Linked DNA regions of Stegostoma tigrinum. The protein of the gene in region 1 purifies or fractionates together with the protein of each later gene. This does not show direct contact. Links are inferred from orthologs where the notes say so. Each region holds a gene or a part of one and is shown on either strand. Other genes may lie near its edges.

What was found. Proteins that work in one complex are often made in the same cells at the same time.
Region 2: the proteins of armc8 (region 1) and serine protease HTRA2, mitochondrial-like purify together in Homo sapiens (affinity purification with mass spectrometry; 5 studies listed by BioGRID and IntAct, with this or other methods). This does not show direct contact. The link is inferred for Stegostoma tigrinum from reciprocal best matches to the Homo sapiens genes ARMC8 and HTRA2.

The regions. Positions count from the first base shown.
Region 1 is NC_081360.1:29,305,030-29,313,149, reverse strand, and holds the start of armc8 (armadillo repeat-containing protein 8), read right to left. Parts: upstream 3,076-8,120; 5' UTR 2,852-3,075; coding exon of another isoform or gene 2,845-2,851; 5' UTR 2,830-2,844; coding exon of another isoform or gene 2,821-2,829; exon of another isoform or gene 2,628-2,820; intron 2,238-2,627; exon of another isoform or gene 2,181-2,237; coding exon of another isoform or gene 2,136-2,180; intron 1-2,135. Other genes in the region: dbr1 (lariat debranching enzyme), read left to right, coding at 6,283-6,479, 6,779-6,903, 7,741-7,821. UniProt on the Homo sapiens protein: Component of the CTLH E3 ubiquitin-protein ligase complex that selectively accepts ubiquitin from UBE2H and mediates ubiquitination and subsequent proteasomal degradation of the transcription factor HBP1.
Region 2 is NC_081354.1:188,103,013-188,111,176, reverse strand, and holds the start of serine protease HTRA2, mitochondrial-like, read right to left. Parts: upstream 3,065-8,164; 5' UTR 3,048-3,064; coding exon 2,650-3,047; intron 1-2,649.

The DNA.
Region 1 (8,120 bases):
AAACACAAATACAAAGCAAATAAACTTGAGGATGTGCTACAAACCAAAATTAGTGAAGCACAGATATCTCTGGGAGGCTGGGAGGATTACAGACATAGGAGGTTAAGACATTAAAGAGTTTGAAAACAAGGATAAGAATTTTAAATAAAGGCAATAAACATATGGATGACAGTATTAGCAGTGGAGGAGCCAAAGTGAGGCATTAGATGATGTTATGTAAACAGAAGTTGCAGCCTTAACGATGGCAGTTGTGCACCTGACAGATCATTTTGTGGCTACCTACAACAAAGTTGCAAAGTTAAACCTCAAACAAACAGGGTAGTGGTTAGGAAAGGGAGTTTATAGCATCACTCAAAGACAGCCAATTACTTAATTGTCTCCAATATTTAATGGGAGAAGACATCTCCTTGTCTGGTGCTACATATGAATATGCAGTCTGACAATTTACAGAGATGCTGGTGACATAGAAATTGGCATTATCCGTGTACACTTATGTAAACTGATATAGTTTTGGATGTTTCTGTTGAGATAGCGTGCAAATGAAAATTAAAAGTGAATCAAAGATAAATTCCTTTGGGGGATGAAAAAGAGAGGAAGAGGGAGAGATGGGCAACAGAGGTGACTGTGCAGAAAAATGAAGAGAAGATAACGATAGTAATTCTCTGACAACAGAGAGCTGATTCTCTGAAACCATGTGAGTATAGTCCTGTCGCGCTACGGAGAGTGGTAAGACACTGGAAGGTGTTTCAGAGATAGTAGGAACTGCAGACGCTGGAGAATCTGAGATAACAAGGTGTAGAGCTGAATGAACACACACAGCAGACCAAGCAGCATCACAGGAGCAGGAAAGCTGACGTTTTGGGCCTAGACCCTTCTTAAGAAATGGGGAAGTGGGACGAGATTCTGAAATAAACAGGGGGAGAGAGGAGGTGGTGGATAGAAGTAGTGGGTGATGTGATGTATTGTATTGTGTTCAAGGCTGCAGGTCAGTTGAGAAGAACAAGGAGGAACAGATTGCCTTTGCCTTTGTCACAGAAAACCTGATTCAGGTCAGATAAACATTAGTCTAGATATCAAGGAGAAGTGCTCTATGCTTTTCCTTCAGTATACTGGATCCTTTTGTCCCACCTCAGAGGAAACTCCAAAACTATCTTCAGCATTTCCAACAGTGTAACACTCGATTCAGAAGCAAGAGTTCAACCATTGATGCACAATTATCATTTTCATTTTTTTATTCTTATTACTTGGATTCTCAACAAATAGTTCTGTTCCTACATAAATTTAATTTCAACGTTTAAGTCAGCCTGTAATGTGCAGATTTCTGGGCAGTGAAGCATTTTCAGGCAGCTAATAAAGATCTTTGAACTTAGAAGTGGCAATGGATGCAGGAAATAATCACTATCCATCCCAATTCATTTGCACATATTTACACAATTAGAAGAACTTTTTTTTCTGGGATGTGAGGAAGGACTTTTTTAACGCACTAGTCGTGAAGAGTTGGTTCTTGCTGCCTAGAAGTGTCGGATGCAGAGACAATAAATGATATCAAACTGGAATTCATTGGCATTAAAGTAAAATAAACTTGCAGGACCAGGTGAACAGAACTGACTGGATTGTTCCAGGTAGCCTGCATGAACTGGACGGGCCAAATGGCCTCCTCCTTCTGGGTCGCACATGACTATTCCTACTCTTATCAGTTGCTCGTTTCTGAATTAAAGAAATTGCGATTTAAGGGAATGGCCAGTGCCGAATAGCAAGTGTAAACATGGATACGGTATTAATAAACATGTCCGCTTTGAACCCAATTAGATTTTAACACAAAGTTTAAAACAAAGGCACAATGTGTAATTAAATGCATCCAATTTTATACGATTGCGTATCGAATATTAAACGGTCAGAGGGATGCATGGAAGCTAGCGATTTATATTTTAAAGGAGGCAGGTTTACAGCAACTCTCAGGCCCAAACCTGCAGCTCTATTCCCGGAGGTCTAACATTAAAACACAGGAGCTGCAGGGGCATGGAAACACCGCCCACCTCCCACACCAGACCATGTCGACCATCCACTTAGAGATCACAGCCCAATCTAGGCCTAAAGAAGGCCGAGTCGATGCGAACGGACGATCACATACTCACCGAAAGCACACTCATCCGCATTGGGGCCTCCAGCAGACACGCCATCTTCCGCAGCGGCAGCACCGCGGCTCAAGCCCCGCCCCCTCACGCCCAGACCCGTCCCTAGCCCTGCCCCCTCCTCTCGGCTCCGCCCACAGACCGCCCCTTTCGGCTGTACCCGTACAGAACTTGCACTCTCCGCCCTGCCTAGCCCCGCCCACAGTCCTGCCCACTTCTCCCGGCCCCACCCACTGACCCCGCCCCCTCGCCTGGGCCCCTACTTCTCAGCTCTCGGCCCTCGCCCCGCACCCTTCCTGCCTCCTCCCTTCAGCTCCTGGCCCCGCCCATCAGACCCCTGACCCTCCCACCAGATTCCCAGTTCCACCCGTTTCAAAAAAATCCCGAACCCTCCCACCAGACCCGTCCCTGGCACACCCTCACAGTAGATCCCAGCCTCACGCACTTCCGCTAGCCCCACCCGCTCCAACGGATACCGGCCCCGCCCCTGCTCCTTCCCTTTCCGTCCGGGCCCAGCAACACTGCATTGCGCAGCCGCACGACTATAGCCGTACTTTCTACCAGGCCTTTACATGACAGACGTTGCAGCCTTGCCCGGCCACTAGCTCTTTTTACAGATTTTGTTTTTTTTAAATTTACCCAAACATCAACTTAGTTGAAAGTGAGGCTTGGAACGATTTACATTTACCTTATCCATTGCCAGCAGATTCGGATGAGCTGTAAGTGATGGTTTTGAGATTATTTAACAAGTTTGTTTGTTCTGGTCGTGGATGTTTATTTCGCCGGTCGATTTTCGGAAGGTTTTTTTTTGTTTTGCTGACTTTTTTTCTCTGTCTTCTGTTTCCCGTTTCGAGTAAAAAAAGTGTTGAATGTTGCGGCGCTCCCGGTGCTGAGTTTACTTTAACGGAGGGTTTGTGTGGGTGAGGGGGAGGAGGCGTAGGGCACGGGTGGCGCATGCGCGCTGGCACCGTGCGGGCGGCTGTCCGGTAGGGGCTTCTCGAGTGCGGTTTATAGCGTCCGCCACCCATCCATCTGTCCCGAGGGAGGGCAGGTAGGAAGCGGCGGACTGAGTCGGAGTGTACCTCCTGATGGGCGCCCTCGAGGCCTGACTGAGGGAGGAACAGGCTTTTTCAGTACCCGCCACCGAGGGCCCCTCTCTCTCTCTCTCACTCCCTCCCCGTTACCGTCCAGCCCGGGGTTGCCGGGGGAGGGGCAGGGGGAGATAGATCGCGGGCGCGAGTGAAGCCCGGCCTCAAAACATCGGAGTCAAACGCAGAAAGTGCCGCAAAAGCTCCGGAGGTCTGGCGGTAAGTCAGGAGTTAACGTTTCGGCCCTCGGTGACTCTTCCTCAGACCTCCTGAGCTTTGCCAACAATTTCTGCTTTTGTTTCTCAAAAAAAGCAAATCTTCCCCCCCCGCCCCAGTCCCAGTCCCAGTCCCAGTAGTCAAATGGCTCACCTCTGCTTCCACGCCCGTAATCTGTCCGAAGGGAGGGCCGACGAGGTTCCACAAAGACTGGGAGAATGTATCATTTTTAAAAAAAGTGCTGGGCTTGGTTTCGAATAAGATATTAGTCGCTGCGTCGCTATATATTTCAGTGAACTCTCCTTGAAAACCACCTGATGGCTCCCTGATATTTACAGGCCTGAGAATAATTATGCACACAACAGTGTTGTATTGTCATCTGTCTCATTGACTTCTGGTATTAAATCAATGGTTCTGACGCGATTTCCCGAGGGAGCTGGCCTGGACGTAGAGTAGCATTTTATTTATGCGTTTGCTGTTGATATTGACACTTATTTTAATGTATTGAGGTGGTGATGAATCCCAGTGACCTTATTTTTGAGTGAAATAATGCTGGTCAATAATTTGAATTGTTTCAAATGAATCAAAAGCTTTGTGTTAACTGCTGCATTTTCTGTTTCTTTTTGTTTGGAAAGTCAGGAAAGGTAGATTTTAAATTCACTGAAAATTCTTCATCCGTGTTCGCTTTAACAATAACCTTAGATCATTGAATTAGGCCCAGGGTGCGCAATGTTTTACATCTGCCACTGGCCTTTTGTTTACCCAACAAATTCTCTAATTTCCAGTCCCTGTTGAAAGCCTTTATTAAATTCAGCTGATGATTCATTCAATGTACTTCTGAGATGGACAGATAAGACGACTGTTTGCTTAACTCTCTAGGTTATTTGTCGCATTGGCTTAAGGTCCTGTGGGCTAAACAGTTGGCTAGAGTCCTTGATCTTGATTGCAGAAAGTTTGCATGCAAGTGCCAAGTATTAATGATTAGGCTGGATTGTGAATCCCAAGTCAAATTGCTTGCATTTCCAGCAGAAATGCACCTGATGAGTTGCTATTTCAGAATAGCACTTGGCAGCAGCTAGTTCTCTGAATAACTTCTGACAGTGCTGTTAATGGGAGAAAGATGAGATTTTCTCTTTTTTAAAAAACAATTGTAAGGATCACCTTTTTATTTTTGCCAGTATCTCAATTTTTAGAATTTGATCAGACAGATTTAACATAATTGAAAAAATTGATTAAATGAATCATCTAGATTATAACGTTCCCTGTCACAAAAAAACTTGGAGTAAAAATTAGAAATTAGTCATCCCTCCATGTTCAAATAGCAGGATTTAGTGATAGTGGGGGTACTACTGCAGTTGATGTTTAATATTAACAGTTTAAATTTGTGGGGTTTTTTGAAAACATGGTAAGATTTTTGCTCAGAGTTCCTATAAAGCTTGTTGGATATAGTTATTGTTTATCCTCTTCACATCTTTTTTAGAACATAGAACAATACAGCACAGAACAGGGTCTTCGGCCCTCGATGTTGCGCCGACCTGTGAACCAATCCAAGCCCATCCCCCTACACTATCCCATCATCATCCATCTGCTTATCCAAGGTCTGTTTAAATGCCCCTAATGTGGCTGAGTTAACAACATTAGCAGGCAGGGCGTTGTCTCTAATGTTTAAGGTTTGTGAGTTGGTTGTCCGAGTGTGAGACATTCCCTTGTGATGATTCCTTGTTATTGGCTGTCAGGAGTTGGTTAGCTCAGTTGGCTGGATGGCTGTTTTGCAATCTGGGATGATGCCAGCAGTGTTCAACAGTTCAATTCCTGTGCCAGCTGCGGTCACCATGAATGATGCCCCTTAACCTTGCTGCAGTTTGGTTACCCTCAGGTTAAACTCACTACAGGTTGTATGTCTGTCTGAGAGAGCAGCTCTATAGTCCTGTCGGACTATGGTGACTTTACCTTTATTGTCTGTCAGATTGTGTAGTTCATCACAAGCTGAACATGACTAAGTATAATCCTGTTTTAACATAACTGCCTTTCAGAAGTATGCCTCTGAAGTAGGGATTGGTAAATTCAGTAGAGATGTTGATATGCTTTGTTAGTGACCTGGATTTAGCATCTCAGGCTTGAACCTAAAATACATCTAATTGCAGTTTTTTTTAAACTAAATGCTACCATTTACAGATGCAATTTGTGTTATTCAGATTGCCATGCTTTGAAATAGTGAACTGAATAAGAATTTAAACTTTTACCCCCAAACTTAAGTCTATGAATGTATTCTTGTTTGATAGGATTAAGTTTTTAGTATCTGTAATTCATTAATGTCTGATTGTTATTTCATACAAAATATTTTCAGAGAAACTGTTTATCATATTGTTTATAGTTTGTAGGAATAGGCATGTTTTGCTATTTTGCCATTCTGGTGAGTTATTAAGCTAACAGTGATAATTTAAAAAATATGTTGTAATAGTTTGATTCAGAATCCAGGCCTAATAGGACATTGACAGTTATAAGTAGTTCATTGCTTGAATTGAAGCAGTCATACTTTACCTGTCAATTCCATTGTCAAATGGTCTTTGAAAATTCAGTGTATATGAACGTTCCTTTTTTGAGTCTCCTTATGACTATTTAACAGCCTGCAAGTAAATAAAAAGCTGTGTTTTGTGTGTATCTGTAAATTTAACTTCAGTAATTAATAAATATTGCCCTTTCTTTAATTTCAGAATCTATGATAGTTTAATTGGGTCAGTACACTGAGACATGAGCGTGCTTAAATAGGGCCCAGGAAGGGAGATTGCTCCTAAAGACACCCAGCTCATTGGAACTTGTAGTGCAAGCTCTTGCACACTGTTACAATGAAGGTAGCAGTAGAAGGTTGCTGCCATGGTGAACTGGACAAAATCTATGAGAGTATTCAGTTTTTGGAGAAAAAGGACAATGTTAAGGTGGACCTCTTGTTGTGCTGTGGAGATTTTCAAGCAGTCAGGAATGAAGCTGACATGATTTGCATGGCTGTACCCGTTAAATACAGACAAATGCAAACTTTCTACAAGTAAGTAGGTGTTCAAGGTTGTTCTTTTTTTGTATCACCTTGTTACTTTGTCCTTTTCTAAATTAAGCACTCATTTTTGTTTATAAGATTGATTCTCTCGTATAAGCTATTGTATTCAAATGCTTGCTATTTAAGCATTTGCATTTGTTACTGTTTGTAATATAAAATGTCTTTTAAAATTTCCATGTAGAGTTTTTATACCTAATGAGAAGTACACACCAGTAAATTACAATTGAAGTTTTGTCTCGAAGTGAGCTATTTGTGAAGTTAAATGCTATTTGTTGAATTGTTACATGTAGATATTACTCTGGAGAAAAGAAAGCCCCTGTTCTTACCATCTTCATAGGAGGCAATCACGAAGCCTCTAATCACTTACAGGAGTTGCCTTATGGAGGATGGGTGGCACCAAACATTTACTACTTAGGTATTAAATCTCTCACGTTTTTATGTAGTGAATACATATGTATTACAATGTCAGGCCTCAAGATCAATGTGTTGTCTGATGACAGAATTAATTGTTTCTTAATTTTGCTGAAGATATTTGATCATATGCTTTATTTGGGAAGATGGAAGCAAGTCTTTGTCATGTCTCAATTTTAAAGTTGTCCATTTATCTAGGAAATATCTTTGACAGTGCTCAGTATATATTCTGAAAATGATGAATAAAATTGTCAGTATGGAGTTGTCAACATTTCAGGGTCATTGTGCATGTGATAGAGGGGGAGTTTAGAAGGACAACATGGTTTGCATCATCTAACACATGACACTAGACAATGGCCTAGTGATATTACTGCTGGACTGTTAATCCAGAGACCCAGATAACGTTTTGAGGGCCCAGGTTTGAATTGTGCCAAGGCAGATGGTGGAATTTTGGAATTAAGAGTCTAATGATGACCGTGACTCCATTGTCAATTGTTGGAAAAATCCATAATGTTCACTAAAGTGCTGTAGGGAAAGAAACTGCAATGTGCACAACTAGGGATGGGCAATAAACACTGCCTAGCCAGCAACTCCCTCACTCGGTGAATTTTTTTTTTTAAAAACGAGTTATGCAGAGTCAATATGAATATAGTTTCTCTTGCCTTATATTTGTCAATGATTCTGCCTAAAGTGAAAAAGCAATTGTATAGTAACACAGCGACAATTTAAGAGAACTGGCTGATTTTGTTTATAGCAAATAAATGCTAAAGAATGTGTGACTTACTGCATGTAGGCTTATTCAAAATGTGTATTTAGAGTAACATATGTTATTTGTTTCGAGGGTATGCTGGTGTGGTAAATTACCGTGGTATACGCATCGGAGGACTCTCTGGTATTTTTAAGCCACATGACTACAAAAAAGGTAAATTAATGTAGCTTAGCCATGTCCAAATTCCCAAGATATTCCAACTGATTTCCACAATTGTTTTTTTCTCAAATGTCTATAGTTTCAACTTGCTGTAGTTGAGCCTACATAGATTTAAAATCATGTGTTGTTTAATCTTAGTGTAGCAAATATTATTCTAATGAAAACCAAATTTGTTCAAAAATTGATGTTTTAATTTCAAATTTTCAATTTCAAAATGTTAAATATGTCAACTAATTAGAGGCAAATGAATTATGAAGCTTCTTTAAAATATATTCCAAGTAATTATTCTGTTT
Region 2 (8,164 bases), on another chromosome or scaffold:
ACTCCCTTCAGACCCATCATACATCAACTAAGCCCCTTTCCTCTCCTTCTCAACCATAAGATAGGCCATTCAGCCCACTGAGTCTGCTCCACCACTCAATGAGATCATGGCTGTTCTGATAATCCTCACCCCCACCTTCCTCCCTTTACCCCCCACCCCTTGACTCCCTCACTGATCAACCATCTGTCCATCTCAGCTGGAATGTACTTCATGACCCAAGCTCAACAGCCATCTACGGTTAAGAATTCCACAGATTCACTACCTTCACAAGAAATTCTGTCTTAAACGTGCAACTATTTATTCTGCAACGACACCGTCGGGTCCCAGACCCTCCCCAAGGGGAACCAACCTTTCCACATCTACGCTGTCGAGTCCTTGAGCAATCTTGCATATTTGCCTCGCACTCACCTAAATTCCAGTGAGTATACACACAACCTCATAACACAGAACAGTCCCTGTTGCTGCTCTGTTCTATAGCCTATCTTACAGTCAGCGGCATACAGCACAGAGACAGGCCCTTCTGTGAAACTCCTCCATGCTGACCAGCCTTCTTAAACCGAACCAGTCCAACTTACAGACAGAGGGTCCCGCAGCACAGAGACAGGCCCTTTGGCCCAAACTGGCCCATGCCAACGTAAAAGTCTATCCACGCTAACCCCATTTCCCTGCACTAGACCTTTCTAAGCCTTTCCTGCCCATGTGTTTGTCCAAATGCCTGCCAAATGTTGTTAATGTACCCGTCTCACCCACTTCCGCTGCCAGCCCATTCCATATGCGTACCACCCCCTGTGTACAAAAAGGTGCCCCTCAGGTTCCCAAATACCCTTTCAAGTTTGAGAGAGATAATTGCTCACACTCAAAGCCATGCTCGCCTTCCCTGATCAGTCCTTGCTTTTCGAAATACTGTAAATCCTGTTCCTCAGGATCCCCTTCAACAACTGATGCCAGGCTCACTGGTTCTCTGGCTTTTCATTGCATCTTTACTTAAATCACAGTACACTGTTAACACCCTCCAGTCTCCTGGCACCTCACCCATGACTGTTAAAGATATAAATATCTCTGCCAGGGGCCCAGCAATTTCTCCCCCAGCTGCCCACAATGTCCTGAGATACATACAGCACGGAAACAGGCTCTGGGGCCCAACCACGCCATGCCGAACATAATCTCAAACTAAACCAGTCCCACCTGCCTGCCCCGGCCCGTATCCCACCAAACCTTCCCTATTCATGAACTTATCGAAATGTCTTTTACATGTTGTAATTGTATCCACATTCACCACTTTCTCTGGCAGCTTATTTCACACACAAACCATTCACGGTGTAAAACAAGGGCCCTCATGTCCTCATAAGACGACGACGCCCTTGTCCTGAAATGCCCTGAACCCTGTGCTCAGCTTCCGGGGACTAATCTCCCTGGTATGTTTGTTGTTCTCTCAGCACCTCCAAATGTGTTTTTCCATTTAAGTGGTATTCAGCTCCTTATCCCCCCGGCCAAACCGCACAACGTCACATTTTCCCATTTTGTAATTCACCTGCCAAGCGATTCCGCCGGCCCCCCCCCCGCCCCCGCAAGTAAATATCTCAATAAGCCCCTGCAGACTCTCTCTCTCCACACCACCACCCCCGCCACATCAGCTTGGAGGACCCTCTTATACCCCAAGTCACCCCGCAGGCCTTCTTAACCGCCGCAATATCCCCACAGACACATGTCTCTAACCCCCATATATCCCTCTGCACACCCTCCCCAACTCCCGGACTCATCCCCCCAACGTCCTCTCAGAGTCGCGTCCTCCCCCCTGCACTCCCCCTCCGACCTCCATATATCCCTCTGCACACCCTCTCTGACCCCAGTACCCGCCTGCACACCCTCTCTGACCCCCATCCTCCCCCTTGCGCCCCCACATATTCCCCCCGTGCACCCTCCCTGACCCCCATACTCCTCCACCCTGCACACCCTCTGAGAGGCCCGTCCTACCCCCCGCGCTCCCCCTCCGAGCCCCACATGTTCCCCCGCAAAACCTCTCTAACCCACATACGAAACCCACACTCCCCCATCCCCCGTACACAATCACCCCGATGCCCTAATATCCCCCAAATACCCCTCTCTAAACCCCATGCCCCATATTCCCCCAACGCACCCTCTCTGACCCTAATACCTCCCCCATGCCTCCTGCAAACCCTCTCTGACCCCCATATCCCCCCAACGCACCCTCTCTGACCCTAATACCCCCCCCATGCCTCCTGCAAACCCTCTCTGACCCCCATATCCCCCCAACGCACCCTCTCTGACCCTAATACCCCCCCCATGCCTCCTGCAAACCCTCTCTGACCCCCATATCCCCCCAACGCACCCTCTCTGACCCTAATACCCCCCCCATGCCTCCTGCAAACCCTCTCTGACCCCCATATCCCCCCAACGCACCCTCTCTGACCCTAATACCCCCCCCATGCCTCCTGCAAACCCTCTCTGACCCCCATATCCCCCCAACGCACCCTCTCTGACCCTAATACCCCCCCCATGCCTCCTGCAAACCCTCTCTGACCCCCATATCCCCCCAACGCACCCTCTCTGACCCTAATACCCCCCCCATGCCTCCTGCAAACCCTCTCTGACCCCCATATCCACACCCCCCCCACCCCCGGTAATTACCTCCCCAGGATCTCGATGTAAACCACGGCGGGGCCTGTTTTCTCCACCACATCCGCGATGAAGTTGAACTTGAAGCGGGGACTGTCTGGGGGAACGGGCCGAGCGGCCTGTACCTGGGGGAGAAACAGCGCGGGGAGCCCGAGGCGTGAGGGCGGCCTGGGCTCTGTGCGGGCCTCGGCCTCCCGCTCCCGATCCCGCCACAGTAGCAGCAGCAGCGCCCCGGGGCCCAGGCCCCACCAGGTTTTGGAGTTAGAGCCTGCACCGGGCTCCTCGCCATCGGCCCAGGGCCTGAGCCCACACGCCAGTGCACGGAGCCCGGGCTGCCCCCCGCGGCCCGTCCCCAAGGCCCGGAGCCCGGGCCCGAACCAGCGGAGAGAGCGGGCAATGGGCGCCGCCATCTTGGAAACAAGAAGCAACTTTATTAACACCGTGTGGAGGTGAAGGGTCAAAGGGCAACAGGGTCAGGGTAATAGAGTGAGGGTGATAGGGTAACAGGGTCAGGGTAATAGGGTTAAGGTTATATGGCAATGGGGTCAGGGTATTAGGGTAACAGGGTCAGGGTCATAGGGTAATAGGGTCAGGTTAATAGGGTAACAGGGTTAGGGTTATAGGGTAACAGGGTCAGGGTAATAGGGTTAAGGCTATAGGGTAACAGGGTTAGGGTTATAGGGTAACAGGGTCAGGGTCATAGGGTTAAGGCTATAGGGTAACAGGGTTAGGGTTATAGGGTAACAGGGTCAGGGTCATAGGGTTAAGGCTATAGGGTAACAGGGTTAGGGTTATAGGGTAACAGGGTCAGGGTAATAGGGTTAAGGCTATAGGGTAACAGGGTTAGGGTTATAGGGTAACAGGGTCAGGGTAATAGGGTTAAGGCTATAGGGTAACAGGGTTAGGGTTATAGGGTAACAGGGTCAGGGTAATAGGGCCACAGGGTTAGGTGATAGGGTTAAGGTGATAGGGTAACAGGGTTAGGGTTATAGGGTAACAGAGTCAGGGTAATAGGGCAACAGGGTTAGGGTGATAGGGTGGTAGGGTTAGGGTGATAGGGTAGCAGGGTTAGGGTGATAGGGTAACAGGGTCAGGGTAACAGGGTTAAGGTGATAGGGTAACAGGGTTAGGGTTATAGGGTAACAGGGTCAGGGTAATAGGGCAACAGGGTTAGGGTGATAGGGTTAGGGTGATAGGGTAGCACGGTTAGGGTGATAGGGTAACAGGGTCAGGGTAACAGGGTCAGGATAATAGGGTTAAGGTGATAGGGTAACAGGGTTAGGGTTATAGGGTAACAGAGTCACGGTAATAGGGCAACAGGGTTAGGGTGATAGGGTGGTAGGGTTAGGGTGATAGGGTAGCAGGGTTAGGGTAATAGGGTAACAGGGTCAGGGTAATAGGGCAACAGGGTTAGGGTGATAGGATAGCAGGGTTAGGGTAACAGGATCAGGGTGATAGGATAACCGGGTCAGGGTGATAGGGTAACAGGGTCAGGGTAATAGGGTAACAGGGTTAGGGTGATAGGGTGGTAGGGCTAGGGTGATAGGGTAACAGGGTTAGGGTTATAGGGTAACAGGGTCAGGGTAATAGGGCAACAGGGTTAGGGTGATAGGGTAGCAGGGTCAGGGTAATAGGGTAACAGGGTCAGGGTAATAGGGTAACAGGGTCAGGGTGATAGGGTAACAGGGTCAGGGTTATAGGATAACAGGGTCAGGGTAATAGGGTAACAGGGTCAGGGTAATAGGATAACAGGGTCAGGGTAATAGGGTAACAGGGTTAGGGTTATAGGGTAACAGGGTCAGGGTAATAGGGTTAAGGCTATAGGGTAACAGGGTTAGGGTTATAGGGTAACAGGGTCAGGGTAATAGGGTTAAGGCTATAGGGTAACAGGGTTAGGGTTATAGGGTAACAGGGTCAGGGTAATAGGGTTAAGGCTATAGGGTAACAGGGTTAGGGTTATAGGGTAACAGGGTCAGGGTAATAGGGCCACAGGGTTAGGTGATAGGGTTAAGGTGATAGGGTAACAGGGTTAGGGTTATAGGGTAACAGAGTCAGGGTAATAGGGCAACAGGGTTAGGGTGATAGGGTGGTAGGGTTAGGGTGATAGGGTAGCAGGGTTAGGGTGATAGGGTAACAGGGTCAGGGTAACAGGGTTAAGGTGATAGGGTAACAGGGTTAGGGTTATAGGGTAACAGGGTCAGGGTAATAGGGCAACAGGGTTAGGGTGATAGGGTTAGGGTGATAGGGTAGCACGGTTAGGGTAATAGGGTAACAGGGTCAGGGTAACAGGGTCAGGATAATAGGGTTAAGGTGATAGGGTAACAGGGTTAGGGTTATAGGGTAACAGAGTCACGGTAATAGGGCAACAGGGTTAGGGTGATAGGGTGGTAGGGTTAGGGTGATAGGGTAGCAGGGTTAGGGTAATAGGGTAACAGGGTCAGGGTAATAGGGCAACAGGGTTAGGGTGATAGGATAGCAGGGTTAGGGTAACAGGATCAGGGTGATAGGATAACCGGGTCAGGGTGATAGGGTAACAGGGTCAGAGTAATAGGGTAACAGGGTTAGGGTGATAGGGTGGTAGGGCTAGGGTGATAGGGTAACAGGGTTAGGGTTATAGGGTAACAGGGTCAGGGTAATAGGGCAACAGGGTTAGGGTGATAGGGTAGCAGGGTCAGGGTAATAGGGTAACAGGGTCAGGGTAATAGGGTAACAGGGTCAGGGTGATAGAGTAACAGGGTCAGGGTTATAGGATAACAGGGTCAGGGTAATAGGGTAACAGGGTCAGGGTAATAGGATAACAGGGTCAGGGTAATAGGGTAACAGGGTCAGGGTGATAGGGTAACAGGGTCAGGGTGATAGGGTAACCGGGTCAGGGTAATAGGGTAACAGGGTCGGGGTAATAGGGTAACAGGGTCAGGGTTATAGGATAACAGGGTCAGGGTTATAGGATAACAGGGTTAGGCAGAGGAGACAATGGATCACTGGTCCCACGTCTTTCACTTTCCAAACCAACACCCCCACTTGGAGTAAAATTATTTTTTATTCCCTCACACAATATGAGCATCATCATCTGTGGGACCATTTATTGCCCTGTGCCTAGTTGCCCCGTGAGAAGGTAGTGAATGTGAGCTGCCTTCTTGATGACCTGCAGTCCCCCTGCCCTTGTTGGGGGGGATTTCCAGGATTTTGTCTCAGTGACAGTGAAGGAACGGTGATATATTTCCCCGGGGCATGGACAGGGTGAATAGACAACCTCTTTCCCCCAGGGTAGGGGGGGGAGTTCAAAACCAGAGGGGCATAGGTTTAACGTAGAGGGGAAGGATTTAAAAGGGGCAACATTTTCACGCAGACGGTGGTGCGTGTATGGAATGAGCTGCCAGAGGAAGTGGTGGAGGCTGGTACAGTTACAACATTTAAAAGGCATCTGGATGGAGACATGAACAGGAAGGGTGTAGACGGATATGGGCCAAATGCTGGCAAATGGAACAGGGTCACATTGAGATGTCTAGTTGGCACAGATGGTTTGGACTGGCTTCTTTGCTGTTCGGCTCTATGACTGTCAGTCAGGATGGTGAGAGGCTTGGAAGGGAACTTGAAGGGAATGGTGTTCCCATGTATTTGCTACCCTTGTCCATCTAGACTGAAGTGGTCATGGGTTTGGAAGGTGCTGTCCATCTTGGGTAAATTGCTGCAGTGCATCTTGCACACTGACCATATGATAAGAGATAGGAGCCATTCAGCCCATCGAGTCTGCTCCCCCCATTAAATGAGATCATGGCCGATCTGATAATTCTGAACCCCACTTTGGTACCATTTCCTGTAATCCTCAATTCCCTTACACATTAAGAATCTGTCCAAGATGCTGCCTAACTGCATCAATGGTGGAGGGAGTGAATGTTGAATATGATGCCAATCAGGCTTTTGGAGTCGTGTTTCTTACGCGTTCTTCGGTCTCAGTCAGTGGGGAGTTTTGCATCATGCCCGTGCCTTGGGGAGTCATACCTGACTCATAGGAATCTGGTTGTGGTTGTGGGAGGTCAATCATCTCAGCCCCAGGACATCTCTGCAGGAGTTCCTCAGGGTAGAGTCTCAGGCCCAACCATCTTCAGCCGCCACATCAAAGACCTTCCTTCATCATAAGGTTGCAAAATGTTCAGCACCAGTCGTGAATTCTCAGATAGTGAAGCTGTCTGTGTTCACATGCGACAAAATGGGGTGCTGGGCTGACAAATATGACGTGAACCAGCTAAGGCTGGAATAAGGAGGCCTGAGAGTAAGTAAGAATGGAACTAAAACAAATAGTAATGTGTTCTTCAAGCATATTAATAGTGAAAGATTAGTGAAGGATAGGGTTGGACCTATGAGGAACAAGGAGGGTGAGTTACTCAATGAAGTAAAGGGTAAGATAGAGTTACTAAGTGTGTACTTTGCTTCTGTCTTTACCAAATCAAAAGATGGTGACAATGGCCAAGTTATAAATGTGAACATTGAGCAACTCAGCAGTATAGTGTGGAGCTGGATGAACACAGCAGGCCAAGCAGCATCTTAGGAGCAGAAGGGTCTAGGATCTGGTGAAGGGTCTAGGCCCGAAACGTCAGCTTTTGTGCTCCTGAGATGCTGCTGGGCCTTCTGTGTTCATCCAGCCTCACGTTTTATTATCTTGGATTCTCTAGCATCTGCAGTTCCCGTTATCTCTGAGCAGTTTAGTGATAGACCAGCAAGTGTTTCTAACAAGTCTGGCAGGAGCCCAGACAGCCAAGGCACCCGGCCCAGATGGGATCCTAGATTGTTGAGAGAGTCAAGGGAGCAAATTACAGAGCAATTGATGGAAATTTTCCGATCGTCTGTGGACCCAGGATTAGTCCTGTGGGACTGGAGCATTGCAAACATGACATAGTTGTTTAGGAAAGAGACAAAGGATAATGTGGGAACTACAGAGTGGAAAACTGGTGGGAGCCCACTGTAGTGGAGAATGTAAATATAAGTTAATGCCAGACCGTCAACATGGGCTCGTCAAGGGCAGGCTATTGTCTGACAAATTTATTTAGCATTGTTTGATAAGGTGAGACACGAAATGGATAGAGATAGTGTCATAATTGTAATGAGATCAGCCTCATAGAACATGAGTTTCCCTGATTGGGGTTGTTAATCTGGTCCAATCAGGGAGCCCGGGCTGACAGATATAATCAGGAATATCAGCACTTCTGAGGAAGCTTGCTCAATGTTAGGTACTGTGCATGTGTAAATAAAGGGCGACTCGGTGGTGTGCTACCAGCCTGAGTGGGGTTATTTCAGGTGGTGCTGTGAATGTTGTATGCTTGGGCTTTCAGGAAGTGTTGGATATAGTGGGTTGGTTAGCAAATTAGAAATGGATTGATGGGTCCTTGGCAGCATAGGTTGGCAGCTGGCTAAAAGACATGAATCAGAGAGTAGGGTAAAGCCTGGAGTGTTCGAGGGACTTTAGAAACCAGGAATGATCAGAGACTGGGTTTATTCTTCTTGGAGCAGACAAGGTTAAGAGACAATC